Diceros bicornis minor: one gene and its partners. The protein of the gene in region 4 interacts with the protein of the main gene of each other region in a pairwise test. Links are inferred from orthologs where the notes say so. Each region holds a gene or a part of one and is shown on either strand. Other genes may lie near its edges. The genes, in order: SMC3, SH3BP5, SPARCL1 and DISC1.

Region 1 (7,850 bases), about 50 Mb from region 4:
ACAGTTGTTTGATAATAGCTACAACAAAAATACTTGATGCCCTATAGACATAATTTAATCATCATAGGCAATAATGGTCATCATTTTACAGCTCATTTATAAAAATCACACAATTGATTTATTTATCTACTTTTAACTTGTAAGTTAAAGAAATAACATATATCTAGTAATTATTCATTTTTCTCCATTTCTAAAGATTTTGATTGATGAAAATCAGAAGGCACTTGCAATCAAAATGTAAGTAAAATCCCAGTACAATCAAGCTACCTTACAGCAAACCACTTCAATTAACAAGTCTTCAGTAGGTATAGCAGGGGGAAAAAGTATGTCTTCTTTACTCCCAACTACAAGGTTGCAGTTGATGTATTAAGGGCAGGTTTTTCCTGCCCTCAATTTTTAAAATTTATCATGTATTACTTTATTTCAAAATAAAGAAAAGTATGATTCTCCCATGTTCTCTGGGAACATCAGCATTCATTCTGATTTCTATATGAATCTCACCTCACCCCATACTATGGACTAAATTGCGTCCTTCTCAAATTCTTATGTTGAGGCCCTAATGCCCAATGTGATGCTTTTTTGGAAATGGGGGTCTTAGGGAGGTAATTAGGATTAGATGAGGCCATGAGGGTGGGGCCTTCATAATGGGATTAGTGCTCTATAAAGAAGAGAGACTCAAACAAAGGAGGTCACGTAAGCATGGAGGCCTCTAGAATGTGACCATGCTGGCATCCTGATCACGGACCTGAGTCTCCAAAACAGTGAGAAAATAACCCTGTTGTTTAAGCCATTCAATCTACATTTTGTTAAGGCAGACTTAGCAGACTAATATACCAATATACTCCGTAAGGAGGACACTGTGTAGCAGAAGTCTAACTATGTCAATAGCACATTCTATGTTTTTCTGGTGTCTAGAAGCACTCATTTCATCTATTCTTTAAAAATTCAGCAGAACATCAGCAAACACTTTCAGTGGCTGTATCAACAAAATGGAATATTATCATCTGAAGAACCTACAGACTAAATACTGTATTGTAGGGTAATCACCATTAGCCCTTTATCCTCACACATTCGCTTTCTCCTTTAATCTTTCCACCAGCCCTATGAGGTAGGTACCATTATTGCCACCTTACAAATGAGAAAACTGAAGCCCCTCAGGGAGTAAAGTTTAAAACAGAATACATGCCAGAACTGGTATTTGAACTGCATTCTGTTATGGTTCCCAAGTTTATGCTCTTCCCAAGCTGCATGGTCTGTCCTTAGACATTATAACTGGAAAAAAAAATCTAAGAGCAATCTAATTTGTGAATAAAGAACGGTCATCTATGAAATAAGGCAATAGCGAGCATTTCAACTAGGAAATGACATATCAAGAACAATAGCTCAAATGCTAAATTTAGTGTCATTCACTATAAACTTAAAGCTATTAAAACACACTACACACAGACAACGCTATCCAAATAAAAATGAGTAACTTAAGATGGTCTTACCCAAGACAATGTATTTTATACATTAAAATACATCTTTTAGGGGCCGGCCCCGTGCGTAGTGGTTAAGTGCGCATGCTCCGCTGCTGGCGGCCTCGGGTTTGAATCCAGGGCACACACTGACACACGGCTTGTCAGGCCATGCTGTGGTGGGGTCCCATATAAAGTAGAGGAAGATGGGCATGAATGTTAGCCCATGGCCAATCTTCCTCAGCAAAAAGAGGAGGATTGGCATGGATGTTAGCTCAGGGCTGATCTTCCTCACAGAAAGAAAAAAAAAAAATACATGTTTTATACAGGTGTATTTTATACATTTTTAAATGTATAAAATAAGCAATTCATCAGTGCAGATAAGACAGAAATTATTTCATATAGAAAAATATACATAAATTTATGTAATATTCAAAGACAACCCTTGTCTCCTTAAACCTAGATATAGGCAGAATTTAAATGGCTGTAGAGATAGAAATGGGATCTACTAAACCATGAACACTTACCAATAACATTATGTTTTGAACTGAAGGGATCTACAATTGTTTGATCTCTGTAACTTCGAAAACCCTGGATAATAACCTAATAAATAAAAGAGGCATTTTTCAGAACACAAAGAAAAAACTTTTTAAACTAACATTTTTCTTTTGCACTTCTTCCCTTTCTTTGTTTCCCATTTAATGCAAGGTAGAAAACTTTCAATTTCATATAAGAAAAACTCATTTTGGAAAGTGGTGATTAAAAATCTTCTAAAAACAGCCCGTTTATCAGTAACCATAGCCAGCGCTGCTTTTTTAGGAGTTATAATTAGTAACCCGTTACGGAACTCTCAAAATCCAGTCCACTGTATGAGGCTGGTTGGAACACTAAACACTGCAGTCCTAGAGTACAAGTCTAGCAAGTAGGCGGACTGGCCCCAGCTTTCCTGCCTCCAGGAGCAGTGGGCGCTCCTTTCAAGCAGACACAAGGGCCGGCCAAAAAGAGGAGACGTTCCAGGATGGAGGAGAGGCCAACATCTCCAACAGAGACTCTTTTCCAAAAGGGTGCGAACGGCTCATCTTGGTGGAGGACTCCAGCGCGGGAAGCCCATTTTGACAAAAGTAAACAACTGAACCAGGAGGCGCTACCCACTCTGCAAGGAGGAGGATCCCTTCCCTTTCCCTTCTCCCGTGAATCCAGGAGATGAAAGGCCGGTTAGGCTGACATCCCAGCCTGTGCCCCCAGGGGCGCCCCCGGGCCGGGGCGACCACCTCTGCACACACCCCGCCCGCCAATGACCCGCGCGGGGCTATCCCCGCAGGACAGCAGCTTCTCGCCCGCCTGGCCGCCACCGTCCCCGACGAGGTCCCCCGCCAGCTCCGGGCCCTCGGCCCGCACGCCGGCCTCTCCCGACCCCAGCCCACCTGCGAAGGCCGGGTCCCTCCAAAGGGCCCGCGCCGCCCGCCGCTCCGCACCCCTCGGAGCTCCTGCGCCCCTCAGACGAGCGCTGTGCGGGGAAGCCCGGGCTGCAGAGGGGCGCCCCAATTCTCAGCAGCCCCCGCGCTCGCGGGGGGGGCCTCTCCCACCCCCTCATCCCCGTGCGGCCCCGAGTCCACCCTCCCTGGAGAGGGGAGAGGCTACGGGTAGCGCCGCAACACCCCCGCCGCAAGGAACGGTCCTCACGGGTGGGAAGGACGCCTAGGCCTCACCTGCTTTATGTACATGGTTCCGCGCCCCTGGCTGGGGAGAAGGCCTTGCCCCCTGACAAACGCAGCAGGGCGGTCAGGCGAGGCGCCAACGCGACCCCTCCCCCAGAGAGCCGCTCGCTCCCCTTCAGCCAAACAAAATGGCGGCGCCCGTGGAGGCGGAGCCCGCGCCTCGGACGGAACCACCCTCGCGGGCCCCACAGAGCGTAGGGGGAGTCAGGGTCGAGTCTGCTCTTCTTTTGGACAAAAGGAGGCTTCTACGGCGTCCTTAGGTGGATTTCATTTGATTCCTTAGTTTGTAGCTGAACCTTGCCTGAGACTTCGTCGGAAGCCTCACTCTGAAAGGCCTCGATTGTGAGGTTGGCCCGTGTTCCCTCCGAGCGCGGAGCCAATGGTTGCGTCCACAAGGGGGGAAAGGTTGGCGCCAAAGCCGAGGGTGAGAGTCGCAGAGCCAGTAGCGGAGCGGGGCGCTGCCCACGTGGTCTCGGGCTTTATAAAAAGGCGGACTCGGCGCGGGAGGCGTCTGTCCCTGACCCCACAGAGTTGAGTGACGGCTGGAGTTCGGTGGTCGGAGTCCTTGCCGCTCCATTATTCTTTCTCGCTCTAGGCACTTTTATATCTTATAAACTTACAATGGCCCCCACTGGCTCCAGACCACCCACTCGCAGGACAGCCCCGAAGGGACTTAACGCTCGAAAATTTGTTTTAATAATGTGATGATTAATAACCCGGGAGCTGTTATTCCTCTTCCCTTTGCCATAAATCTAGGCAGACTTGGACAATGGCAACAAAAAGAGATTTAGATAAGATTAAAGCTCCTTTTTTTTTTTTTTTAAACAACCTGAAAGATATTAGGTGGTAGTGGCAACACTAGGTGTATCTGATCTGTATCAGTTTTAGGGGAAAATTATTTGGTTAGAAATTGGATCCCTGGGTCGCTGTAAAATTATCTGCTGCTCAGCAGCCACTCAAGTCGGTCGGTCCTCGCTGCCCCTCCCGCTGTCGGGGACAGTTCCAGCCCTAATATTTCAAGATTGAACTATCTTTAATAGCCTCCTAACTTCAAACCTGTCAGCACCCCTCGGTGCTGGCAGAGTCCTTTATCAAGCCCCGATCAAATCCTATCCAGCCCTTGGCTTAAAAAATATCTCTTTAAAATAAACATTTCTCCAGTATTAGCGTCTCTACACTGTCAATTTCTAACTGTGGGATTGCAGGCATATATGAATATTTAAAGTTTTAAGCCTCCATTTCCTGGGCTATAAAATGAGGATAAAACCACTTCATGTTTAGAATTAAAAACAGGATGTATAAAATAATCCTATTTACCTAAATTATATAGATATGTAGATGAAAGGATGTTTGTCACAGTGATGAGATTTTTATTCCTTAGACTTTCCATGTTAAATGAATCTTATACAATTAGTTTATATAATTTATTCAGGCAGAAAAAATAAATATGAGTGAAAACTTAAAATATAAAAAGGTGATTTTGAGAATTTAACATACTTGTCTTATTTATATTTGTGTATTTATTGTCTTTTTCTGCTACAACATAAATCCAAGAGAGAAGGGCCTTTATCTTCTTCCTGCTGTTTCTTTAGTAACTTGTTCCTAGAAAGTACTCATAAATACTTATGAATGAAAACTGTAGGAAAGCAAATTACCTACCACAGAGCCTGGCTCATTTATGCCAGCTCTTGGTATTTCAAGGCTCCACATGACCCCATGCTACCCACCTCCCATCCCCATGGCAGCATCATTCTCCCCTGGGAAGCATTTAACAGTACATCACACGGATCTCCTTTAGCAGGGAGGACAGGTTCAACAAACCCATGCACTATCTGGCGGCAAAGGGACATTCCCAAATGAAATCGACTCCATGAAGCAGACAACTACACAATGCCTACTTGCTCATAGTCAAGCAGGTGAGAACTGCAGGCTCTTTTTTTTACATCAAAACATCCCATGAACACCACATAGCATCACCTCCTTCAGTGTTTTTACTTTTCTCCCTCAGCTCCACCTCAGATTGATTCAACATGATCCTCGGACATACTGAAGTGGAAAAAAAACAAAACAAAACAAAAAGAGGCACTAATCATAAATCTCTTTAAGACGAGAATCTCTTAAATACTGAAAGCATAGGCAAACAACAATCATAGTCCCTTATATTTGTGTAGCTTTTTACCAGCTTCACTGTGCTATCACGAGTGTGGTCTCCCTTATGTTTTCCTCACTATGATGTTGTGAGGAACAAGGGTGCTTATTGTTCCATGCTGGACTGGAAACCCAGGGATCTTATGCTGACACCATCTTACTGCATGACCTTAGTTTTCCTGTGTTTAAAATGGGACCACTCTCTGCCCTTCCAGGCAGCAGAGATGCAGACAGAGGTCTGCTTCCACAAAGAGTCCTGCGTGAGTATGCTGAGAGTTGGACTTTGGGAGTCCCATATTACATCCCAGCCCTACCATTTGCTGATTATTTGACCTGGAGAAGAACCTCTTGGAACCTCTGTTTCCTCATCTATAAAATGGAGATTATAATCATACCTACTAAAAATTCTGTGCAGATAAATTAAGATGATTTATGTAAAACAACTCGTACAAGAGATAATGTTAGCTATTTTTGTTCATAGTTTATAACCAAACTCAAATCCAGCAAGTCCCTGGGAAAAGATAACAAACAGCTTATATACATCCCTGGTGTCTAAAATTAGATTGTAATGATGGTTGTACAACTTTTTGAATATAGTAAAAACCACTGAACTGTACACTTTAAGTAGGTGAATTTTATTGTCTGTGAAATATATCTTAAAGCTGAAAAAAAGCCTGAAAAATTTTCAGCTATGAATGTTTAAACCATACCCAGATTTAGACCATGTGCAGATTTATATGATATACAGATTATCTGGGTCATTCTAGAAACATTTCATAAAGGACACCAGTGATGTATATAATTAAAATACATTGTAATTGCAAACATGTTACTAAAATCTCATGTTTACTTTATCTTTACACAAAGCTTTAGTTATTTAGACTAGTGCAGAAATTCAAATTCTGGCATGGAGTCAAGTATGCCGTGTTCCAAATTCCCAATTTTGCCTTCTGTAGTAACTGTATCACTATAAAGTTAAACACAAAGTTACATTTTTTAACAATAAGGTATGATGATAATTTTCCAATTTAATTGATATTTTAAAATGATCTTTTACAATTTCAAAGGTATTTAATAGAAAATCACCAAATTTAGTCTAAGAGTTTTTTTGGGGAAAAAGTCACAAAATGCAAAAATGAGTTATTTACTAAGAAGCAGGAGGTTCACGTCCTCCCCCCACACCTTTTCTAGAACCAGAGTTTTTGCTATAGGCAAGATTTGAAGACCTTAACCTTAGGCCCAATATTCTTTCTAATTCCAATTTCACTTTCTTGATAATGTCCTTTGAAGTATGCAAATTTTAAATTTTAATGTCATCTGATTTATCTATTTTTTTTTTTTTTGGTTGCTTGTGGTTTTGGTGTCATATCTAAGAAATCATTGCCTAACATTTAGTCTAGTTTTTATCATTGGTATCTGTGAAAGGATTTGCCTGACCGCTTCACACTGTCTGGAAAATGCTTCTATCAGAAATCCTCAAGACTCACCCCTTGCTTCATTTAGGCCTTTGCTCAATTGTCAGCTTATGAGGAAGGTCTTCTTTGACCACCCTATCTAAAGTAACACTACCCCTGGGTCACTTACCATGACACTGCTTTGTTTTTCTTTAGAGCATTCCCTATCTGATGTTCTCTCTGCCTCTCTCTCTCTCTCTCTCCCCTTTCCTCTCTTTTTCATTTATTGTATACCCCTGTTCCCACGATGGAATGTATGATCCTGGAAAAAAAGAACTTTTGTTTACTTTGTTAACTGCTGGTTACTCAGTGCCCAGCACAGACTCATGATAGGAGATCAATAATTTTTTAAATTAATGATTCCCCAAATCCTCACCAACACAGTGTTTTTGATCTTTGCCAATCTGAAATGTAGACAATGGTATTTTAATGTCTTTTAATTTAATTTGTATTTCTATGACTAAGGTTTAGCACCTTTTTATCTATTTAAAAATTATCTTTCTTTCTCCGTAAACACCATTGTTTTCAATAGATGCTATAGTAATAAATGAAATGTATACATCCCTTCAAAAGAGTTATAGATGTCATAGTTGCGTTGGCCATTCTGTACTTTATCAAGGTTTAGAATAGTGCCTGTTGAATGAATGAAGAATGAATACCAAGAAGATAACTGCTAGAAGGTGAAGACAGGCTCCATGAAAGTTTTTGATGTTTGAAAGGAGTACTCATAATCAAGGAGGATTCCCTAGGCTAAAAGATGCAGAAGAAATGTTTAGCTTACTTGGCAGCTGCCCATGGATCTTATTTCGGTTTCCCCCATAAGCAGAGCCTGAGATAAGGATTTGGAGGCAAGAAGTGATCCCAGGGAGCAGAAGTGATGGAGTGGGAAGGGAGAGACAAGGAAGAAAGAAAGGTCAATAACATGCAATATTGAAATTTTTACTTGTGTGGGCACCAGGGATCAATCTACTGGGAAACTGCTGAGGACATGTGTAAAACATACCTCAGAACTGTCACACCAGAGGACAGGGAGACTGAGGTATTCATCCACCAATTCCCGTCTCTCATTGATT
Region 2 (7,525 bases), on a different chromosome or scaffold from region 4:
GTACCCCTGACTTCTCGTATAGTGTCCAAATCATGTTAACTGCTCAATAAATATTTGTTGGATGAATGAATGGCATCTCATTTTCTACAGTCTGTAGTCCAAAGTTTTTAGCCTGGCATTCAAGGCCCTTGAGGACCTGCCCCAAACTATACTTTAGGCTTCATGCCCTGCTCCTTCCACTCCCCACCGTCCCTTCCTGGGTCCCAAGTCCGGATGATGTCCCGCCTTGCTGTTCCTGACCAGTCCATGATTGGTTCCATGAACCATGGTTCATCGGTTTTGTGGTCCATGAGGGGTTCCACGAACCCCTCCATGATTTCCTCCTGTTTTTTCCCCTATCTGGGAAGCTCTTTCTTTCTTTGGCAAAAACCTTCCTCCCTTGTTTGAGGAAGTTGTGTTTGTTATTCAAGGCCCAGTGTCAGCTTCTCTTTAACCCATCCTGGCCCTGCAGGCAGAACAGTGGGATGACTTCCGTGTTCCTGCCGAGTGTAACATGGCCCTTTTCAGTTGCCAGGAGGGAAAATGCTGCTCCCTTCACCTGGTTGATGGCCAGCACTCTCCCTCCTTCTGCCCTAAACTCAGTCAAGCGCTGTGACATCAGCACGTCGCCTCACTTCCTCTCATTCCTCCACTCTGGGGGGTTCATCAGGGTGGGGCAAAAAGACAAGTTTCTCTATTCACAAAAAGAGCTGAGGAGCTCAAAATGGATTAAAGACTTGAATGTAAGACCTGACACCATAAAACTCCTAGAAGAAAACATAGGCAGTAGACTCTTTGACATCGGTCTTAGCGGTGGCTTTTTGAATACCATGTCTACTCAGGCATGGGAAATAAAAGAAAAAATAAACAAATGGGACTACATCAGACTAAAAAGCTTCTGCACAGCAAAGGAAACCATGAACAAAACGAAAAGACAACCTACCAACTGGGAGAAAATATTTGCAAATCATATATCTGAAGAGAGGTTAATTTCCAAAATATATAAAGAACTCATACAACTCAACACCAAAAAATGGGCAGAGGATATGAGGACATTTTTCCAAAGAAGATACACAGATGGCCAACAGGCACATGAAAAGATGTTCTACATCACTAATTATTAGGGAAATGCAAATCAAAACTACAATGAGATATCACCTCACACCCCTCAGAATGACTGTAATTAACAAGAAATAACAAGTGTTGGAGAGGATGTGGAGAGAAGGGAACTCTCATACACTGCTGGTGGGAGTGCAAGCTGGTGCAGCCAGTTAGAGACCTGCAGGGGTCGCCACCCCAGACCTTTAGAGCTGCTGCTCCAGATCAACATGCCAGCTAAAATAAATATTAAGCATGTATCTGGCTTACAAGCCACTTAACACGGCTTGCCTTCTTAGTATGTGCAGTAGGCAGAATTCTAAGATTGGCCCATTTCCCACCATCCGGTGTATATACTCCTGTATAATTGTAGGAACTTGTGAATAGTTGAGATAGTCATGTCCACGATTAGGTTATGTATGTGGCACAGCTGACTTTAAGAATGGGAGACTTTTCTGGGTGGACCTGACCTAATCAAGTGAACACTTAAAAGGGACTGAGCTCTTCTTGAAGAAGAGACTGAAGTGTAACAGGGATTCAACACAAGTGAGATCTCTGTTGCTGCCTTTGAAAATGGAGGGGGCCACGTGACAAGGAATGCAGGCAGCCTCCAGCAGCTGAGACTGGCCCTTGGCTGACAGTCAGCAAGGAAACGGGCACCTCAGTCCTACAACCACAAGGAACTGAATTCAGCTGATAACCTGAATGAGCTTGGAAGGACTTTTTCCTCAGAGCCTCCAGAAATGAATGCTGTCTGGCCGACACCCTGATTCAGCCTGGGGGACCCTGAGCCCAGAACCTAGTCATGCCGTGCCTGAACCTCAGACCTAGAGAACTATGAGATAATGTGTTGTTTTAAGCTGCTAAATTTGTGGTAATTTGTTACACAGCAATAAAAAACTCATACAGTATGTATTATTTTAAATTTATTCTTAAATTATACAAATAATTATAAATATATCCTCCTTGTAAAAAATGAAAACATTATTGAGAGATTAGAAGTTTCCTCTGACCATCCTAGCCAATCCTGGGCCCCTCCCTACCCCCCTTTCCCAGGGGTAGTACTCTTTGTTGGGTCTGAAGTCCTTCTTCCAGACCTTTTTCTAGGCATTTATGTGCATATATATGTACCAATAGAAAATATATCGTATTGCTGTGGTTTGTTTATTTTCCTTATTTTAACTTCAGATCACTATTGGGATCAACACTATAGCTGGCCAGGTCTCCTAAAAATAAGACAACTAAAATCTGAACTCAAGTTCTAGAGCAGTTTCCCTGTGTCCCATGAAGGCGTTTTGAACCACTCTATTGCGCTTAGATCTAAGTTTAAATAGAAATGTGTTTTAGAGGCAGTTGTTTAGAATGGTGAGGCTGGGGTTCCACCAGCTGAGAAGCATTGAGAGTCAGGGCTGACCTCACATTTCTGGTTTTCCAGCTCAGTCTCAGTGGATTCACAGCTAGGATGAACCTGCTCAGTTATAGGCTCAATTCCCAGCCACCAGGGAAACAATGGTGACTCTTGTGTCCCAAAGTGACCCTAGTGACCATCTTGTCCTGGCCTTCATCCATCAGTAGAAAATCAAAAGCAACAGTCTTTAGCAAGGAACTTCAGAACATCTCTCCAAGAATTGCTGACTCTTCCTTAAAGAACAATGAAGAGGTTTGAACTTTCCAAAACAAACGTATAGCATACACCTATATTATGTCCAGGAGACAGGATGAATCTCTTTTGATGGTGGACCACAGTGCCAGCATATATAGGGTGGTACCTTACCCAAGGAGTAACCCTCTAAATTAGCTTCTGATAAAACCATCAGAAGCAGGTTTTCAAGGTGGCTTAACGATGGGATCTCAGAAAGAAGCTCCTTTCTCAAGCAAGTTTGTCCTCCAAACTCACAGAGCCAATCGGCCGTAAGCCTCTGTGTAGATGTGTACGCTTTCTGCATTTTTGTAGTGAAGGAGACATTAGCAGTGGCCAGTGGCAATGTCCTTGCCTGCTTTGCTAAGGTCATCTGACCTTGTGCTCCCCTGACATCACAGTGGCCATGACATTTCATAACAGCACAGACATGCCCCTTCGTTCTTTGCACTTTAGTGATGTCGAGTTTGCCAGGCAAGCTCTGCCTCCCTACTTACTCAGGGTGGGCAGGAAACCTCACCAGTTCATAAATCCTTGGACAGGGTGTACCCATTAACAGAGGTAACACTTAGCCCCTCCTTGAAAAGACTGTACCCACCCACCCACCCACATCCCTGATCAATGGATTTTCCATGCTTCCTGGCTATTCAGGTAGGACCATGCCACAACACTAACGCACAGCTGTTTGGGTGTGGAGCTCTGCCCAGCGCGGGTCACAAACTTTGGACAAAGAATCCGCGCCTGGAGCTGCAGCTGGCTCCCCTTTCTGTACTTTATGTCAATGTGAGCACGTTACAGTTGCCTTTTCTGGGGAAATCTTCAAGTACATAGATAGAATTCCCAAGATTCAACCAAGGGGAGAAACGTGCTTTGGGTGTATACAGGGGTTTGAGGAGTCTTGAAACTGGCCCAGGGTCACTGAGTACAGGCTTCTAAAGGTGATTTCAGAGACTGGAAATACCCCAAACTTTCCTTCCATACAGTCAATTCGCCTGGGCCGAGGAGGGAGGGAGAAAGCTGCCGGGAGAGTAGGTGGCCAATGTTGGGTGGTTTGTGATATTCGGGCTGCTAAGAAGGGGTGAGGGCTCTCCTATTTCCCCACGCTAGAGGATTTCAGAGGGCTGGGGTTTTTGTGACGGAGGCCTGGGTAACTGGGACCTGCCGAGGAACAGTCGGAGGCGCGCGGAGGGCGGCCCGGCGGGACGAGGGCGGAGCGGGCGCCGCTGCGCTGACAGCCGCGGCAGAAAGGGGGCGGCCGCGCCCATTTCCTCCGCTCCGCCCGCGCCGGACGGATCCGCATCGGCGAGCGGCGCCTCCCGGGTGTCGGCCCCGGCGGCTCCCGACCGTGCCGGGCTGTGGCGAGACAGCTCCGGCCGAGCCTGCGGCGAGTCGCTGCCCCTCCGGACGCTCCGAAGTCCCCCGCGCGGTTCGCATTCCGGCTGCCCGCATGGACGCGGCGCTGAAGCGGGGCCGCTCGGAGGAGCCGGCTGAGCTCCTGCCGTCTGCCCGGGACTTGGAGGAGGAGGAGGAAGAGGGGATGGAGCAGGGGCTGGAAGAGGAAGAAGTGGACCCCCGGATCCAGGTAGGGCGCGCGGGGGGCGCCCCGGATCCCGGCATCTACACTTATACCTGTCCCGCAGCCCCCAGTGCCTGCGTTCCGGGGAGGTGGTGGCCACGTAGGTCTGGGGGCGAGAAGAGAGCGTCTAAATACTCCGTTTCACCTGGTTCATGGGGAGGCTGCAGTGCCCGCGTGGATGCGGCCTGACTCTATTGTGGGGCTCCCCCTCGCAGACCCCTGGCAGGATCCGGGGGTCGCCGCAGCGTGCCCAGCGTTTCGGGCGGATGTGCAACAAAGGGAAAAAGGGGGCGGGGGCGCCATGTGGGTATCGGGGTACCCCCGGCTAGGCTCGCGGCGCCGCAGGCATTGCACGGCTGCCTGGCCCCGGGAGGAGGGGTGGGCCGGCCAGGGTGGGCGCCCGACTCCGTGGGCGGGTGGGCGAGCTGGGCAGGGTGGGCGTTGTCCGCCCCTGCAGCGTGGGCTGGCACCGGTGCCCTGGGTTTGGAGTCCCCACCTGGCGGAGGTGCCCGGCCCGAACCATATTCCTCCTCCTCTGATTCATTGTTAGCAAACTGAAGGGTTTATTGTCACCACTGGCTCAACCCTCCGCTTGGCCTCAGATGCTTTAAAGCCCAGCTTTTCCTTGTTAGGAGGCCGGGTGTGAACAGAAATCAGGGGCAACTGATGCGCAGAGCTGATGCGGGGAGAAGGCGAGGGGATTGGCCTGGCTTTCTGTGCCTCCATTTCTAAGGTAGATGATTAAAAAACAATTTCCAAGCCGAGATCTAGGAGTGACAGTTTAACCTCTTCACCCTCGAAGCAGAAAGCACAGCAAATCCCCTTTCCAAGACTCATTTTTCTACCCTTTCCATAAATCTTTTTTTTTTTTTTTAAATATTGCTTTTAAGCATGCTCTGCAATTTCTGGAGCCCTAATTGGTTTTTCAGTGCACAGGTCAATTAAAAGCTCATTTAATTCAGCTGTTGCTGTTTAAATGCATTGTTTTGGCAGATTAGCAAGATAAAGATCAGGTGGAAAAATCTTTGCATTAGGAATTCTATTTAAAATAATCAGTTTGGACTACTAAATCTTGTTTTCTTGGTACAGGAATTCTGTTAACAAGACCCTTTGTTTGTAGAATAAAATGAGTTAACTTCATGCGGGTACTTTTTACAAAGGTCAGTTTGTACATGTTTATTTAAAAGATCAGGATTAAAGCTAATTTTTTTATTAAAAAAAAAAACCAGCTAGGTAGGTTGAATAATAGGCAGTTTGAAAAGATTTTCATCTGTACAGAAAAATACTCAACTGCTGATGAATCAATGCCAGAATTCTGTCCTTGACTAAATCATTTCATTAGGTTTATACTTTTGGGTTGGCCTTGTTTATTTTCTATCATTGTCTTTTCTGCAAATTCTTGCTCTATGGCAGAAGGTACTGTTTTGATTTGGCCCCTACACCATTTGTAACAGGTGGGTTTACCTGAAGGCACATACCTGGAATAAATATTTGCCCGTTTAAGAGAAGACAAGTTCCTAGGACCTTAAGACATTTTCAAAAGGGACACCATCAAGAAAAAGGCTCCAGATATGCTGCCATTCCTTTGCTCTTCTAGCCAAGGCTTAACTATTTTCCTTGAGAATTATCTGAGTCCTCCCTCTTCCTACAAATTGTCCTGGAGTAATTCTCCAGGTAATGGGCTGAGTCATACCGGAAACAAAAGATGAAGCCCTTAAATCTTTTTTTCTGTCTTTTCTTCCTTAGGGAGAACTGGAGAAGTTAAATCAATCCACGGATGACATCAACCGACGGGAGACTGAACTTGAGGTACAGAAAGCTGGGTCCCTGTTGTTGGTGAGGTGGTGCAGTCCCGCTGACACCAGGCTGGTTAATTTTGTTTTAATAGCTGGCGTCCCCTCCTCGGAGTTGAGCAACAGCCTGCTGTCTGACAGAATAAAATACACCACTGAGCCCAGCTTGTGGGTGGAACACATGTGGATCCAATTTCACATGTTGTTTTTCATCATGGAAGCTCTGTGGGGCCAAAACCAAGAGCTTTACACTCACGGAAGCCCTAAAGTTAACGCGTCTGTGGAAAAGCTGGATGGACTGGGGGGAAAATTAGCTGAACTCTTTAGTGGAGAAGAATGAATGAGCTCATAAAAATCTCTTAAATATTTTAGGGCAGTTCCTTTTTTTTTTTTTTTTTTTTTTTTTTACCTTTCCTGCACTAATAATTCACCCCTTTCCACTTCCCTGCTCATTTCTTTAGTGTCTGCTTGTGTGTGGAATATAATTATCTTAATGGTAAGGAAAAGCTGTTTAGACTGCGAAGAGCTTTCCTGCTGGGAAAAATCTTGGGAGACTAGAAGTTGATTTGAATTTCATGAGCATCTTTCAACCTGAGTGTAAACAGATTAGCATTCTTCACAGCCACCAATTAGTCCCCATCCCTTTTCAGTGGTGGTTGGTTTTACCCCATCAGCAAATATGAACAAACCCTGCATATATCTGAGAGCCTGTGAATAACTCTGTCAGAGAGCTGAAGGAATGCAGGGAGCTGTTGGGAGGACCTGTTTCTGTAGCAGAAGAAATGGTAGGGAAGGTGAACAGGAAGGGCAGGAAACATCTGGTCCCTGGAGTGTGGGAGATAGGAATATAATCTATCATCAATACAATGGCAGCCTTGATTTCTGACTGCATGGCTAGGCCCTGGAGGTACCAAATCTGGAAGTGGCGATGGGGATTAAAAGCTTGCTGCTCCGGGCTGTGTATGAAGGGTTATGCTAACCCATCTATTCTGACTGTAGGTATCCATGAACACTGGCTGCCCTTCTTCCCAACTGAAGTGAAATCTGTGTGTTTATTGAAATTTTTTTCACTTATGATAAATCAAGTCTTTCTGTTGGGCAACTGAAATCTCTCAGAATCTCAGATTTCTAATACATTGAACAGCAACAGCAAAAACCCTATCATTTCTATAGGGATTTAGAGTTTACAAAGTATTTTTACAAGCTTTATCTCCTTCCATCTGGTCACAACAGCCTAGAGCTATGCTGTCCAATATGGCAGCCTCTAGCCACATGTGGCTGTTTGAATTTAAATTAATGAAAATTAAATAAAATTACAAATTCAGTTTCTCAGCCACAGTAGCCACATTTTGAGAGCTCAGCAGCCACCGTATTGGACAGAGCAGGGAATGCTTCCATCATTGTGGAAAGTTCTACTGGACAGCATGGGTCGGGAAGGTG
Region 3 (8,630 bases), on a different chromosome or scaffold from region 4:
ACTCATTCGGCTGCATTAGATTTAAGAAAAGTGAAGGGAATTTGTGAGATCCTGTCATCAAATTAAAGGGAAATATTTTCTCAAATTTATTTAGTTATGCACATTGCTATAAAAACTAAAATCAAAGGGTATAAGTCTTAAAACCCACAACACTTTTGCTGATTCTTGCTTCCTCTTTATGTTGTTACCATTTATAAGAAAATGCAGTAACAGTCTCTTAGCCTAATTCCATTGTTGTTTGTGATGAATGTAGGAAAGACTCCTGGCATTAAAGGGAGCTTTGGTAAATGTGTGGGCAAAACAGACTCTAAATGTTCCACTGGAAAGTTATTCTGAACTCACAGCACAACTTAAATTATATTATTTTCTGAGGCTCTAAGTTGTTTATTCAAGAATCACAATTTGACTTTTATGGAAGATGAGAGAAGAAAGAATAAAAATTTATTGAACACCTCCTAGGTATCAGACATTTTTACAAGTATTATTTCTTCTAATCTTCACAAAACCAAATTAGATATTGTGTTAGTCAGGGTTCTCCAGAGAAACAGAGAAAGAGAGAAAGAGATTTATTGTGAGGAATTGGCTCATGCAATTATGGATGCTGATAAGCTCCATGGTCTACAAGATGGGGACCCAGGAAACATGGTGGTGTTATGTAACTCTCCAGTCCTTGTCCAAAAGCCTGAGCACCAGAGCACTGATGGTATGTGTCCCAGTCCAAGGGCAGGAGAAGACCTGCATCCCAGCTCAAACAGTGAGGCTGAGAAAGCAAACCCTCCCTTACTCCACATTTTTGTTCTATTCAGGCCCTCAACAGATTGAATGTAGCCCATCCACAGTGGGAAGGGCAATCTGATTTATGCAGTCTACTGATTCAAATGCTAATCTCTTCTGGAAATACCCTCACAGGCACACCCAGAAATAAAGTTTAACCAGATATGTGGGCACCCCAAAGCCCAGTCAAGTTGTCACATATAATTAAGCTTCACAGATGTTATCCTCATTTTTAGATGGGAAATCTGAGACTCAGAGTGTTAAGTAACTTGCCAAAGATACATAGATGGCAAGTGTTGGTCCAAGTTCAAATATATGACTTTCTAACCCCAAAGCACAACTTCCTTCTACTAAGCCAGTAGTTCTCAATCAGCATGATTTTGCCCTCCAGGGGACACTTGGCAACGTCTGGAGACATTTTTGGTTTTTGTAAGTGGTGGGGGATGGAGGACTTGCTACTGATATCTAGTGGGTAGAATTCAGGGATGCTGCTAAACATCCTACAGTGCACAGGACAGTCCCCACAACAAAGAATTATCCATCCCAAAATGTTAATAGCACCAACGTAAAGAAACCCTACACTAAACTATGTTAATTTGCATTTTTACAGTTTTCCAAAACAGTAGAATAAAAATAATATGCTGATCTAAAATATGAATGACTATAGTTCCATAAATTTAATAAGTACTGGTGGAATGAATGAATGAATGTTAAATTCTGAAATATAGAGGAAGGAGACTACATTTTTCAATGACTCTTTACAATGAGCATTCATTAAGAGAATAAAATATTTTAAATTATCATCAATAATAGAGATGGAAAATAGATTCTACTTATTTACTCAAAGCATTAAATACCATACAGAAAATATTTTATTTTGATACAAGAAAATCATAAAGTATATTTTTAGTGGGTTTAGTAGTTTAAAGAAAAAAAATAGCAGCAGTTTGTTGTTCATGGAATTCATAGAATTATTTCCAATTTTAGAACTATAAAATATTGGAGCTAGAGGATCATCTAGGTCACCCTCTTCATGGTCCGTCACTTAAGAAAACTGTGTCTAAGAAAGAACAAGTGACTTGCACACGGTTTCTTGGCCAGTTAAGGACAGTGTTGGAGCCAGAACCCAGCTCTACTAACAGTTTAATGCTTTTTTCATTCTAAGGTGTTTTTCAATAAAACTGAAGTGTTAGAGATGTGGGGGTGGGGGGCTGCATGTTTTTATTTCAACTTGTTCTTCATTCAAGGGAAATTGAATTTCTACACTTTCGCCTTGTTTATATTACCAAGCAATGGGCTGTCTCTGCTCGCCGCAATCTGAGCCAAACAATCACAACGAGTTAGACATCGAGAAAGGAAGTTTTGGTTCTATTAGCCGGCATAATCAGGAAGATGGCAGACTAATGTTTCAAAAAACCAACTTCAAAAATTATAGAATCTTGAGGTAGTTATATAGGGGAAATGGGCAGTAAGGAGGGAATTTAGAAATGTCGGCCTTCAGGCATGATGGACTCCAGAATCTTTTGTTGTTCCTTTCTTCTGTCAGCGATGATGAATATCTTGTAGGTGTGTTTCCCATCTGTGGTCAGCCTGTTCCTGGAAAGAAACTCATAGAACAAAATTTTAATTTATCAAGCTATAGGGGAGTACACACGCAAGCAGAGGCCATAAATCAGGAGAGCATGTGAATTATTTTATAATTTTATTTGTTTATTTATTTTCCCCCCAAAGCCACAGTAGATAGTTGTATGTCATAGCTGCACATACTTCTAGTTGCTGTATGTGGGACGCCGCCTCAGCATGGCCGGAGAAGCGGTGCATCGGTGCGCGCCCGGGATCTGAACCTGGGCCGCCAGCAGCAGAGCGCGCACACTTAACCGCTAAGCCACGGGGCTGGCCCGTAAATTATTTTAGAGTACGTGCAGAGCAGTGAGTAGTCACACAAAGGAGGGGCTGGGGCCATTGAGTGTAACAAGATGAACTCACTTATGTTCACTTTCATTTAGACTATAAAAAGCATTATTGAAAGGGTCTTTTGATATCAAATAGCCCAACTGACCTTCTATGCCTTTTTTTCCCCAACACAGAAAAATGTATTAGCCATGTATGCAAAAGCTTAACCCTTAAAATGTTTGGAACTCTTTATTTAAAAATTGGAACTGAATTCTGAATTTTTCCCAATACTGGTTTTGGGATTTTTTTCCTTCTTCCCTACTTCTTTGTGTAAGAGGTAAATGGAGAACTTTATTTGCTAAAGAGCTGGGAAAGCACCAGAGCAGGAGCCAGGGAAGCTGGGTTCAAGCCCAGGTCCCTTTTGAACCGCTCTGTGACCTTGAGCACGCACTGTCAGAGCCCTTCCAGGCCTGTTCTTCATCTGCCACATCATGGGGTTGTTGCAAAGATCAAATAAGATAATATCCCATCTGTAAATCTGTTTGGTAAACCCAAGGCACTTGATGATATAAACTTCCGGTATCTCTTATACACCATTACTAGTTCTAAATAATGTTTATTTAAAGATATAAATAATGTAACACACATTCCACTGTTAGTACTCTGAATTTCTATGTAAGTTCTGTACAGCCATTTTCAGAGGGGCCCCTTAGAGGAATTAAATTTAAGTCTCCAAGCTGAGTAAATGTTATTTTCATTAAAATTAGAATAGATTAGTTTATTTAAGGTTATATAAGGTTATAAATGATTTGAGTTTTTCCGCTACACTCAATCCTGAATCACCTTCTATGTGCAGCTTTAGTCTCCATCCTTCCAACACACTGTTCCCTAGTCCAGGTGGCCCACCCTGTGGCGTTGGAATAGTGATAAAGGTGAAAATGTGTTCTTACTTGTTTCTAACATGATAAGAAAGTCTGTGCTGGCACCTATAGCCTCCTTTTCATCAATATAACCTTTATTTGCTAATAGAGTTAGAACCAAAGACTATAGTAATTTCTACGTGTCCTAAAAAATAATAATAATAGTAATAAATAAGGAGATATAAATCAGGTGAAGAAATGGAAATCGTCTGTTGATTAAATGGAACAAATGAAATATATGCATATATTGCCATTCCCTGCTAAAATTCCAGCATAATGATAGGAAAAGAAAAATAACGATATAAACACACAATGACAGAGAAAAAAAAAGGAGGAGACAAAGAAGACAAAAGATATCAGCAAATTTTTAGAAGATGGAAAGGAGTTGGAAGAACAGGGAAAGCTGAAGCCTAGGGGTTTTCAGCCAAGGGTGCCATAGACAAAGAAGGCAATTCCCACTGCAGAACCCAGAAAAGTTTCAAGTATTGGAGGCACCAGGTAATTTGGAAGGCGAGATGAAGGTAGAGGCTAAAATCCGGAGGATTGGTTGAAAGCCTATCAGATAAACATACTTGAGACACTTCCTCATGCCTGCACAGCCAGTGGACTTCCCATTTCACCCTAAATAGGAAAGACAAGGTTATTCTCTGGCCCTGGACTTGAGATAGGCACAGTGGAGGGTGGGTTGTGGTGCCGTACAGAAAGCTGGGGACTAAGTGAGTGTCAGTGTATGCACTGACAGATCTCCAGACCCTTCACTCATTCATCTCACAGAATGCTAGCAACCAAGCTTATACTCCCCTCTCCAAGGTAGGAGATACAAAGAACTTCTCTAGGAAAAAAATGTCTCCCCAGAAGGAAAGATCTGACAATGACATTTGGGGTGCCCCATCAAGACCGTTAGGTTCCTGCCTCAGCCCCTCCGTGGAAGCTCTCCAAGGTGAAAAGTCCTGCCCTTGAAACTTCTAATTGGCTTTTTAGTGACTCACTATTAAATATTACTGGACAACCAAAGACATTAGAAATTTCAGAGAAGCTTCCAAAGAGAAAAACAAAGACCAAACCAACAACCAGGAAAAAAAAAGAATAATACGGAAACAGAAAATGCACGGTGCAGAGGCAATTTTAAAATGTATACACAGTGCCTACCAAACCCAACCCATCTACAGACCACCGCCAACTCACAGATCACCAGTGCAAGACCTCTAAATTAGATGGACATTGATGGCCCCTAAAGCCAGTGCCATGTCTCATTCCTAAGAACCTTCACTAAATATACGAGTTTCTCCACACCAAAGAGGCAATTTGTTGAAATATCATGTTACTTCACCTTGTGCCTTTTATCCTCACTGTGAACACTCACAAATCTTAAGACCCAAGATCTTCTTAGAGTCTTTATTCAAGGAAGCACAGTCATAAACAGAGATAGGCTCTGCTGAACACAGCTGGGCCAAAAAATCAAGGAGTCATTCTCACAGGGACACAATTGGGTAAAAACTGTCATTAATCTGTCTTTCCAGACATGTTAGTCCCCAAAGATGACAATCACCTTTAAATACAAAGGATGGTATCAAGCTCAACATTTACGAAGAAGATTACCTTTTAATCTTTCATGAGGAAAATATTACCCACCACGGCTAATTGTCTTCTTGGTTCACAGATCTGGAAAGCATGGAGACGGTGCTTTTCTTCCTCTACGTTTTGGGAACCGCAGCTGCAATCCCGGTAAATACTCTCGCTTCTGTTATTACAGCTCTACCTCCCGACACTTAGTTTAGAAATCCTCCATTTACATGAAAATGTTCTTATACAGTGGTTTGAAATTCTCTTTTTTGTTTTAATCATAATATTTTTTTGCCCAAGCAGGGAATGGATGACTAGAAAAGTTGAGATGCTATTTTTTAAAAATATTTCTTTCAGAACCATCAGATTCTACAAGATGCAGTAAATATGCAGCTGAAAGTGTTGATTATTAGTTTATTAGCCAGGGGATATGCCCAAATACCAAAGACAACAGGAAGAAATAGATTCTCCTGTGGAAATTCAACACATTTGTCTAAGAACTCTAAGAAATTTGTTTAAGAAATCTTGGAGTGCACACCCGCACAGTCCAGCAGCACTTTCTGCAAGATCAAATACAGTCTGGCTGAGAAATTCTGAGTCTGTAATAAAAATGGGAACTGGTGGGTTGGGGGCAGGAAATGGTACGGTAAGCATAAATCAGCTCCTAGCTCATCCTTCAGGGTCTGTCCAAACAAACATGCTGAAAGCAGACAGGACTAGAACACTTTTTCTTCATGGTCAAGTATACTGGCCTTCCCATTCAGACAGCAATAAATCAGCCGTACACAAACCAGACCGTTTGAGACCACATCAGCAGCCTCACAATAACCTGGATGTTGAAAGAAAGAAAGAAATGAAAGAAGGAAGGAAGGGAGGGAAGGAAGGAAGGAAGGAAGGAAGGAAGGAAGGAAGGAAGGAAGGAAGGAAGGAAGGAAGGAAGGAAGGGAAAGAAAGCAAGAAAGAAAGAAAGAAAATAGAACCAGAGCTTGGATGATCATTTAGATGTTTCCCCAAATGATCCGTACCATCCTTAATCAAACTAAAGGATCTGTGCCATTTTTTCTTTCTCACCACACTGAGGAATCAGCCTCTTTAAACACACAAAGCAGTGTATCTCTTGTCCCTTCTCTGACTCCCTCTCCATGCCTAAGATTCTGTCCTTGCTTTTTGGATAGCTGGTGGCTAGATTCTGGTTGACAGATGTGTCAGCAAACACAAACGCCCCGCCACCCAGACCAAGCAGTTCTTGGAAAACAGAATTTACAATCACCGCGGAGAATCATGCTTAAGTAGTGTGGAGCTACTCCAACTGAAATTATACATTGTCCTCTGAAATTACAAAAGTGGGATAAAGGATGTTCAGCATAGAAAGGAGCACCCACAGAACCACTGTTTTCTCCTGAAAATGTGTTTTGCTCGTGCAGCTGTTGCCGCCATGTAAACAGGCAGCAAAGTGTCTGAGAACCAAATGTGTGAATGACACGCCTGCATATAGACACATCCCAGATGTTTCCTTTTTAGGACAGGTTGTTATCAAACAGACCCAGTCAAATGCTAAAAAGCTAAAACTCTTCTCATAGAATTTACCTATTAAAAATCTTGTATCATTTTCCCCTCCTCTCTGAATTCTCCAGAAATCAGTGGAGTCTGTGTGGTTAGGAGATTCCACACAGATGTCCAGAGGGTATGTTGTTATAAATATAGAAGGGGGCATAATGATAACACAGAATTTCATGTTCAGAAAATTTTCTGAAAGAAGATGAGCTGCCATGTTTTTTGTGCATTTCTTCCATTTTGGGGAGAGGGAATGAGGAGGAAGGGAGCGGAGAGGGGAGCAGTTCTCCACTGTAAACCTAAAATCTCCTCCATCCACTGCCTTTCATGATGCCCCTGCTGGCAACTTGCTAAACTGGCCATCATTCTTTCTCCTTTTCCCTCTTAAAAATAGCTTCCTTGGAAATTTTTTCAAATATTATTACTCCTCTTAGTTGAAAAGGTAATAAGAAGCAAGAGAGCCAATCGAATCTAAAATAAATCCTGTACTCCATGGCTTTGTGTATATTGCACAATCAGCACTACAGGACCTGCTAATGGAGTAAAGAGGAGTCAATGCAAATCGAATCTGAGTTTTATACTCACACCTGGATCTCTCTGACACCTGGGTGTCCACAGCATCTCTCACATGAAGATCCACGGTGAACGCCTGCCTAGGATATCAGACAGTTCATCTTATGACCACTGCAGGATATTACCACTAGAAATAGTAATTTTTCACTTGGGTAACTCCTTAAAATTCACAAAATATTTTATGTACATAACCTTATCTTGATATTTCTGCTCACTTCACCTTGAGAAATGACAGAATGATTAACAATTTGTCAAACCGCAGATGGATAGTAAATAGTAGAGTCAAGACTTGAAGGAGGGTCTCTCATCTCTAAGCCCAGTTGTTCAACTTCTCCATTACGTATCACTGTTCAGCTCTTCATCTGTCTTGCTAGAAATAGACAGAGTCATCCATCCAGCAGAAATAATACTCCACAGCTGCTCTTCACTACTATACTTGGTGCCCTGTTTCACACAGCTTTTTAATTAGTTCTTGATTAAATTGTTTTTTATTGGAAGACTTTTTGGTGGATATAGGGCTGATAGTGTTAAGAAAGTAAACAAATATTAAATAAAAGGTTTATAACTTTTTCTACTAATTATCTGTGAGTACTTAAAAGTAAGCTTAAGAAAACGTACAATGCTATATCTTACTGTTAATTTAATTTGACTTCAACTTTCTGCTAAACAACATTTTTCAAAATTATAAAGTGTGAATGCTTTGTAAAAGTTTGAAAAACACAGAAAATAATTCCGAGACTCAAAGGTCACTATTCTCGATACCATTTTTGCTCTATTTTCACCCAGTTTCTGCATATATAACTTTTCTTAAACATGACTGGGATTCTGTTTTCACTTAAGATTATATTCTGGACATTTGCTTGTATCTTTTAAAATTCTAGAAAATATTTTTAATTGGTATTATAAATGAGGTATATTGCTACGAATAATGATGACAATAAAAGAGTAACTAGAAATTTAAATACTAACATCTAGATATGAATAATACAAACTAGTTTTAATTTTTTCAGACAAATGCAAGGTTCCTATCTGATCATTCTCAACCAACTGCTGATTCCTTGAGTTCCATCCAACAGGCTGAATTGTCGGTAACACCTGACAACACTGCAGTCCCCATTTTAAGGGTTGAAGATTCAGAAAATGAAAAGGAAACTGCAGTATCCACAGAAGACCATCTCAACCATAAGGTAAAAGTAGCATGGTTATGCTAATATAATTTTTAAATTCTCCAAAGGTCTCAATTTAAAAACATGGTCAAAGATATTACCTCATTGTCATCTCTATTTAATTTCTTTAAAGATGATCATCACATCAACTCTCCAATCACTAGAAGAATTGTGAGAATTAATGAGT
Region 4 (8,086 bases):
GCCAAAGGGGACCCTCTTCACTCCCAGAGTGGCTGCCAAGGGCATCTCTGGCAGCAGTGCTCTCTGCTTGCTTTGCATGAGAACCCAGCATATAAACTGAATTACTATCATCATTATCAAAAGAATGGTTCTAATTCTAGTCTAATGACCCTAATGTACAAATGCTACTTATTTTTCCTAGAAACTTTGTTCTGTGCTGGTCTTTAGCTCTCAGTATTTAAAGATCACCATTGTACCCCCTCTTTGCTCTGAAACTTTGACCAAAACCACAATAAAATTCAGACATCAACAATTTAATCTCTAATCCTCCAATCAAACGTTTAAGGTTTATTTTTAAATGGAAAAGGCTTAATGAGCATAATAAATTCTGGCTTCTTTTTTTCTAAATTAATGTCTTAATGTTCAAGCAACAAGCAAATATTATTTTTTTCATTTAAAACAATAATAGTTTGCATCCCATTTTTGAAACAGATATAAATTGATGGACATAGCACAGAAATGGATTACAAGAGCAGAGACACCAAGCTATTTGTCTCTATTGACACTCCACTCCCCTTCCTTTTGGCCACTTGCTTTCTGTGGCTCAGGATCACTGTTGTTTTTTTATGTTCTTTTTCTTATTTATAGTTTTCTGTGCTTCCTGTAATGAGCACGCATTGCTTTTGGAAAAAGAAAAAAGAATAAGAGAAATTTCATTTAGGAAACAAATGACTTAGGAATTGTTTCTGCAGCCTGTAGACCTGGCATTCACCCCCCTTCAGGTGCACAGACTTTCTCTGAAGGTCCACGTCCCTCTGAGGTCATCTCAGTGAGCAGTGAGGTCCCTACAGAAATGTCCTGGGTCCCAGCCCTGCAAGGTAACCATGACACCAAAAGCCTCAATCCCAGTTACACCTCTTGTGCCATTCTAAGGTTTCTGGCAAATTTAAGCGTTAAAATAAAATTAATTCCGATTCCATTTAGTCTGAGATTTGCAATGAGTTATTGTAATACGTTCTTTCAAGATTTTAATACCTTTTTTATTGCAAATTTTCATTGTTTATTTTTGCAAGAAAATAATTTAAAATGGGATTTTAAAATAGAGATGAAAGAAATTAAGATTATTTCAAAGTCTCTTCTGCCAGGGCTAACAATTCACTCATATTTTAGAGTCTGTAAACATGCAAGACATTATTAACTGTAATCTAACATTGGTCTACTCTGAACCATGGCTCATCTCCATAACTTCAGTTTGGTCAGCGGTTGAGAACACACTTGTGAGAGGCACCCACACCGGATTTTAATCCTGGCTCTACTCTTAACAGCTATGTGACCTTGGGACAAAAGCAGAGTAACCTTGATTATCAGCTTTGTACAGGGAAAATGAGGATTATAAATATCTACCTCACAAAGGTTTGGGGCGGATTTCATCAGAAGAATTCCTAACAGATGGCCTGACATTGTAAGCTCTCAAAAAATTGCCCCTGTTATTCTTCCCTCCTGGTAGCAGTGACGTCTCATATTAGCCAGTGACTCAGACTCTTCAAGGTGCTTCCAGATTTTTTACCTCATTTGATCCTCAGGCAGCTCTGTCAGTACAAAAAGCCATAATTACCGTCCGCATTTTTCTTTTCTTTTATCTTTTGTGTAAACAGATGAGGAAACCGAGGCTCAGGGTCAAAGCACTCCAGACCGCTTTTTGCTCAGTGACACAGTTCTCAGCTGAACCCCAAAAGACTTTATGTGCCGTACCTGAATGGAATAAAACTAAATTTCTTCTCAAATACTCTGCTATTCATACTTTAATCAAATCAAACTGGTATTTCCACATCTCTCCAAATCATTTAGGTTTTGCTTAGTAAAAATAGCAACTAAGGTTATTTAGAGCTTACTCCACATCTCAGGCCCTGGGCTCAGTGCTTCACAGCCACTGCCACATTTAAACCCCGTAACAACCCTATGAGGTGGGCACTGTCATTGTCCCCATTTAACAAATGGGGAAACTGAGGCATGGCTAAGTCCAAGACTGAGATGCAGGCAGACTATCTCCAAATTCCAACTCTTAGTTCTCTGGTACTACCCAAATTGCATTTGTCCAACTGACAGTTCGGTTGGCAAAATGCCTTCATGCACAACACGTGTGAGACAAGGAGGCGAGGTAATGGGTGCTCTCTCTTACATTTGAGGAAACCAAGGCTCCCAGATGCTAAGCGTTGTGTCTAAAATTACCCGGCCCTCTGGTGGCCCAGCAAGGACGCAACGGCAGCACTCCCTGACTCCAACCCGCATTCTCGTCCGAAAGTCTCAAATGCCTTTGTAGGTATTTTAAGAGTAAGGTGGTAGGACACGTCCTGTCACTCTTGAAAAGCAACCATCAACTTAATGGCTTCGGTGTCAACACTGAGAGTTGACAGCGTGACCCGTGTTCTGGGAAGTGGAAACGGAGCGGTCTCTCCTTAGCCCGGCCGTGGGCGTTGCTGTCGCCAAGTCGGAAGTGGGAGGCGAAATTGTTTGCAGAGCAGCCCCTTGGGCAGGTGCCAGCACCACATTCCTCATCCCACCCCCAGCTCCTCTCTCCGGGTCCCCGACGGGGTGGAACCCGTCTCTCAGCGGGGTCTCGGGACGAGGGCGAGCCGGGCGTCCCCTGTCCCACAGGTGAGCGGGTGAGGGCGCACAGCGACGAGAGGCTCGGCGGCGCCGGGTCCCGGGACTGACCCAAACCCCAGGCAGGCCCTTGCCGCCTTCCTCGGCCACCAAGACCCGCCACGGGGGCGGGTCCTACCAGCGCTGTTTCGAAAACTGCCGCTCGCCGGGATCTCAGTACAGTCGGAGGGGAGAGACCTGGCCCGGCTCGGCGCAGGCGGGCAGCCCCAGACCGGACTCCTCCCCCAACCCCGCACGCCACGCGCCCTGCCTCAGTTTCCCTCACCTCGAAAAGGGTGCACAGAACCCAAGCTGTTAACAGAGGCACACCCAGACCCACACGATTTCCAGGGGGCAGAGCGCGCCCTCCCTGCCCGGATGCCCCCGGCCCCGCCCGCCTGCGGTGACAGCTACCCTACCTGCGCGGTGGCCCCCGCCGCCACCGGCCGGGGCGCCCTGGGGACCCCCGCCCAGCATGCGCCCCGCCGGCTCCTCCCGCTCCGCTTCCGCCGCCTCCAGCTCGTCGGCGGTCAGCAGGCTCGGTGCGCCCGAGGCCCGCGGAGGGGGAAGCGAGGCGCCGAGCCGGACGGGAAGTGGGGAGGGGGCCGGCGAGGAATAGGGAGGCTCCTTCCTTCTCCCCGGCGAGGCGAGCGGTTTCCTTTCCAGCCTCGGCCCCTTATGCACACACATACACACACACACACTCACACACACGCACGCACGCGGCTGGGGCGGGCGGCCCGGCAGGCCCACAGCCCGTCTCCCAGACCTCTGAAAGTTCGCTTTTCACTCTCGCTCATTTGTGGGCGAAAATGAGAGGGGAAGTGCGGTGGGGCGAACGGGAGCGCAGGGAAGGAGAGACGGCGAGGCCACCAGGGGTGGGTCTACGAGGGCGCCTCCCACACGCGTGATTAGGGAAGTGACCAAAGGGTTGGTGAGGAGACGGAGGGGATGAAAGGGTGAGGAGAAAGCGGGGAGACGACAGATGACGCTGGGAAAGAGATGAATGGGAGCAGTTGTTCAAAAATGAAATGTGAATCCAACTTTTTGAATCTTCAGGCAGCACTGGACTGGTCCCAGAGCCCCCTCCCCATCTTGGACGCAAGCTGTGATCCGTGCGGAGCTCCTAGGCTACTGACTCACCTCCTTCACTTCTTCTCTTTGGCTCATTCAGGAAGGCTACTGGAGCACCCCCTTAGGTAGCACCTGCCAGAAATGGTTCTTGCCCTTAAGGAGCTCGCCTCCAGTCGGGAAGATAAACAGATGCATATAAAACTAAATAGCAACATATGGTAGGATATGCCAAGAGCCAGAGTCTTGGCACAAGAGTCTTGGCACGGAAAGTGTTGCAGAAGTTCCAGGGTAAGAGGGAGTCTTGTGAAGAGTCAGGGAGACCTTCTGGAGGAGTGGGCAGGATGTCACTAGAACTAGAGGAGGGCCAAGGTCCTTCAAAAGATAAGAATCTTGGGAGTGAAAACGCACTCCCAAGTCGTTGTGTTGTGGACAGAATGAATATGAGAATGGATATTAAGGATGTGTGGAAGATGGAAGGAGCATAAAGCTGGATCTGGCTGAGTTTAATGATATATACCACTAAGAGAACTGGATTCAAAGCTGTAGTTTGAGAGATTAGAAAAGGCTCTAACAGTTTGGTTCTAGATTGAAACATGGACCAAGAGCTGTCCTACACTGGAAATGCGAGAACTGCCTTGCTATACTGCTAAGGAAGTACCCAAAGGCTTAGGGGGATTGGAATATCAGAGTGGATTTATCATGTAAGACCTGCTTTCCACTCCAGGAGGGTTCAGAGGACACACCTTTCACTGTGACTCAGAAATAACCTTGTGACCCAGCATCCTTGGTCACTCTTCTCTCTGTCAGACATTACAATGGGAACTGCAGCCACTGAACTAGGATCCTTGAATGCAACGGGGATAATTGGATTATAGTTGACAGGGGTCAAATGGTGGCAATGAATCACCCAAGGCAAGGTGGGCATGATTTCTGTAATGGACAACAGAGTCAAAGCACAATCAGAATAGTCTGACTCCCACAGACCTACAGTGTCGGTGTCGGCAAGTTGATCATGGCGTTCCTAGAAGTGAAATAGATGGGAGGCCTACTAAATTCTTATTTGATCTGTATAAGCAGAAAAGTTCTAGGTCAAGTGAACAAAAGCCTAACTTGAATTACCAGAACAGAGAGACTCAGCCCTTCGATCAACTGGCAGACTTGAGGCAGTTTACCAACCCAGAACTTCTTGAATGAAGGAGGAAAGACCCTACAACACTGCCCAAAATGTATACTGTTACTCTTTCTTCTAGCCCTCCCCAAGGGGACATATGGCCTCTTACCAGGGTGACTGTGCATTGGAAAAAGGAAATAATCAGACTTTTCAGGAATTACTGGACACCGGCTCTGAACTGACACTAATTCCAGGAGACCTAAAACATCACTATGGTCTACCAGGCAGAGTAGGGGCTTATGGAGGTCAAGTGATCAACAGAGTTTTAGCTCAGTTCCCTCTCACAGTGGGTTCCTGCACCCATCCTGTGGTTATTTCTCTAGTTCTGGAATGCATAATTGGAATAGACATACTCAGCAACTGGCAGAATCCCCACATTGGTTTTCTGACCTGTGAAGTGAGGGCTATTATGGTCGGAAAGGCCAAGTGGAAGCCACTACAACTGCCTCCACCTAGGAAAAGAGTTAACCAAAAGCAATTCTGCATGCGAAGACAGATAAAAAAGATTAATGCCACCATCAAGGACTTGAAAGATGCAGGGGTGGTGATACCCACCACTTCCCCATTCAGCGTGTCCATGTGGCCTGTGCAGAAAACAGATGGATTTGGAGAATGACAGTGGATTATCATAAACTTAACCAGATGGTGATTCCAGCTGCAGCTGCTACACCGGATGTAGTTCCATTGTTTGAGCCAATTAACACATCTCCTAGTACCTAGTATGCAGCTGTTGATCTGTGAATGTTTTTTCTTCATATCTGTTAGTAAAGACCACCAGAAGCAGCATTCTTTCAGCTGGCAAGACCAGCAATACACCTTCACTGTCCTACCTCAGGGATATATCAACCCTACCTCATAATTCAGTCAAGCAGGGACCTTATTGCCTTTCCTTTCTGACACTGGTCCATTACATTGGTGACGTTATGCTGGTTGGACCTAGTGAGTATGAAGTAGTAACTACTCTAGGCTTATTGGTGAGACACTTGCATGTCAGAGAGTGGAAAATAAATCTGACAAAAATTCAGAGGCCTTCCATCAGTGGATTTTCTAGAGGTCCAGTGGTGTGAGACATCCCTTCTAAGGTGAAGGATAAGTTGTATTTGGCCCTTTCTATAACCCAAAAAACAGGCTCAACACCTAATGGTCCTCATTGGGTTTTAGAAGCAACATATTTCTCATTTGGGTGTGCTTGCTACTCAAGCCCATTTACCAAATGACCTAAAAAGTCGCTAGTTTTGAGTAGGCCCAGAACAAAAAAGGCTCTCTGCAACAGGTCCAGGCTGCCATGCAAGCTTCTCTGCCACTTCTCTGCCATAAGATCCGGCCAATCCAATGGTACCTGAAGTGTCAGTGGTGATAGAGATGCTGATGGAGGCTTTGTCAGGCCCCTATAGTTGAATCACATCACAGATTCTTAAGATTTTGGAGCAAAGTCCTGCCATCCTCTGTGGATAACTAATCTCGTTTTGAGAAACAGCTGTTGAGTTACTACTGGGCCTTAGTGGAGACTGAGCTCTTATCCATGGGCCATCAGGTTACCCTGCAACCTGAACTGTCCATCATGAACTGGGTGTTGTCTGACCCACAAGCCGCAAAGTTGGGCGAACATAGCAGTGCTCCATCAAATGAAAGTAGTATATATGAGACTGGTCTGCCTGAGCAGACCCTAAAGGCACAAGTAAGTTACATGAGGAAGTGACCCAAATGCCCATGGTCCCCACTCCTGCTACATCACCTTCTCTCTCCCAGCCTGCAGCTATGGCCTCATAGGGAGTTCCCTACGATCAGTTGACTGAGGAAGAGAAAACTCAGGCCTAGTTTACAGATGTTCCTGCACAATGTTCAGGCACCATCCAAGAGTAGACAGCCATAGCACTACAGCTCCTTTCTGGGACATTCCTGAAAGACAGCAGTGAAGGAAAATCCTCCCAGTGGACAGAACTTTGAGTAGCGAACCTTGTTTTTCAGTTTGCTTGAAAGGAGAAATGGCCAGAGGTACAAGTGTATGACAATTCGGGGACTGTGGCCAATGGTTTGGCTGGATAGTCAAGAATTTGAAAGGAACATGATTGGAAAATTGGTGGCAAGGAGATCTGAGGAAGAGGTATGTGGAGAGACCTCTCTGAACGGGCAAAAAACTTGAAGATATTTGTGTCCCATGTGATTGTTCACCAAAGGGTGACCTCAGCAGAGGAGGATTTTAATCATCAAGTGGATAGGATAACCCATTCTATGGATACCAGTCAATCTCTTGCCCCAGCCACTCCTGACATTGCCCAATGGGCTCATGAACAAAGTGGCCATGGTGGCAGGGATGCAAGTTATGCATGGGCTCAGCAACATAGACTTCCACTCACCAAGGCCAATCTGACTATGGCCACTGCTGAGTGTCCAATCTTGCAACAGCAGAGACCAAAAATATGGCACCATTCCCCAGGGTAATCAGCCAGTTTGCTACTTGATGGTAGGTTGATTACATTGAACCACTTCCATCATGGAAGGGGCAGCACTTTGTTTTTACTGGAATTGACACACTGAATACATATTTCCCATCCCTGCACACAATGCTCTGCCAAAACTACTATCTGTGGGAGAGAGGAAGTCAACATGGCGGCGTAGGCAGACTCTGAACACACCTCCTCCTGCAGACACAGCCAATTTACAACTACTCGTGGAAAAATTACCCCTGAGACAGAACTGAAAACTGGATAAGAGGAACTCCTGCAACAACGGACAATCCTAACTGAGGTGGAAGAGGCAGACACTCCCTTCAGGAGAGGAAAAATGCCGCCTTCACAAGCCACAGAGCCTCACGGCCACCCGGGAGCAGCCCAAAGGTCCGCAGCCCTCCCTGGAGGCGCAGGGCCCTGAGCAGGGGAACGCCCCCGCTGTGGGCATTTTGTGGACCCAGCACAATCGAGACGAGTAGCATAATATCTGACTTTGCCTGCTACTAAAACATTGGGGAGCACCCCCAGAAAAGCTGGTTCACAAAGAAACTAAAACCCGCTCTTAAAGGGCCCACGCGCAAACGCACCCGTTTCAGAAAGCAACCTAAAATCACCAGAAAGAAAGGTGCACAGTGCTTTGGTGAAAAGAGACTGACCTAATAGGCCCTGTGTGCGTCTCGGTGAGAGGTGAGACCTCTCCAGGGACTGGGACATTGGCGGCGGCCATTGTTGTGGCCTGGTGTGGGCGAGCTGACACAGAAACCATTGG

The links.
Region 1: the proteins of DISC1 (region 4) and SMC3 interact in a two-hybrid assay, tested with the Homo sapiens proteins (2 studies listed by BioGRID and IntAct). The link is inferred for Diceros bicornis minor from reciprocal best matches to the Homo sapiens genes DISC1 and SMC3.
Region 2: the proteins of DISC1 (region 4) and SH3BP5 interact in a two-hybrid assay, tested with the Homo sapiens proteins (2 studies listed by BioGRID and IntAct). The link is inferred for Diceros bicornis minor from reciprocal best matches to the Homo sapiens genes DISC1 and SH3BP5.
Region 3: the proteins of DISC1 (region 4) and SPARCL1 interact in a two-hybrid assay, tested with the Homo sapiens proteins (2 studies listed by BioGRID and IntAct). The link is inferred for Diceros bicornis minor from reciprocal best matches to the Homo sapiens genes DISC1 and SPARCL1.

What each region holds. Positions count from the first base shown.
Region 1 is NC_080745.1:74,336,563-74,344,412, reverse strand, and holds the start of SMC3 (structural maintenance of chromosomes protein 3), read right to left. Parts: upstream 3,273-7,850; 5' UTR 3,182-3,272; coding exon 3,167-3,181; intron 2,061-3,166; coding exon 1,985-2,060; intron 1-1,984. UniProt on the Homo sapiens protein: Central component of cohesin, a complex required for chromosome cohesion during the cell cycle. The cohesin complex may form a large proteinaceous ring within which sister chromatids can be trapped.
Region 2 is NC_080741.1:21,849,475-21,856,999, reverse strand, and holds the start of SH3BP5 (SH3 domain-binding protein 5), read left to right. Parts: upstream 1-4,041; 5' UTR 4,042-4,163; coding exon 4,164-4,298; intron 4,299-6,038; coding exon 6,039-6,101; intron 6,102-7,525. UniProt on the Homo sapiens protein: Functions as a guanine nucleotide exchange factor (GEF) with specificity for RAB11A and RAB25. Inhibits the auto- and transphosphorylation activity of BTK. Plays a negative regulatory role in BTK-related cytoplasmic signaling in B-cells.
Region 3 is NC_080747.1:71,569,048-71,577,677, reverse strand, and holds the start of SPARCL1 (SPARC-like protein 1), read left to right. Parts: upstream 1-5,258; coding exon 5,259-5,312; intron 5,313-8,287; coding exon 8,288-8,464; intron 8,465-8,630.
Region 4 is NC_080745.1:24,572,236-24,580,321, forward strand, and holds the start of DISC1 (disrupted in schizophrenia 1 protein), read right to left. Parts: upstream 3,369-8,086; 5' UTR 3,313-3,368; coding exon 3,042-3,312; intron 1-3,041. UniProt on the Homo sapiens protein: Involved in the regulation of multiple aspects of embryonic and adult neurogenesis. Required for neural progenitor proliferation in the ventrical/subventrical zone during embryonic brain development and in the adult dentate gyrus of the hippocampus.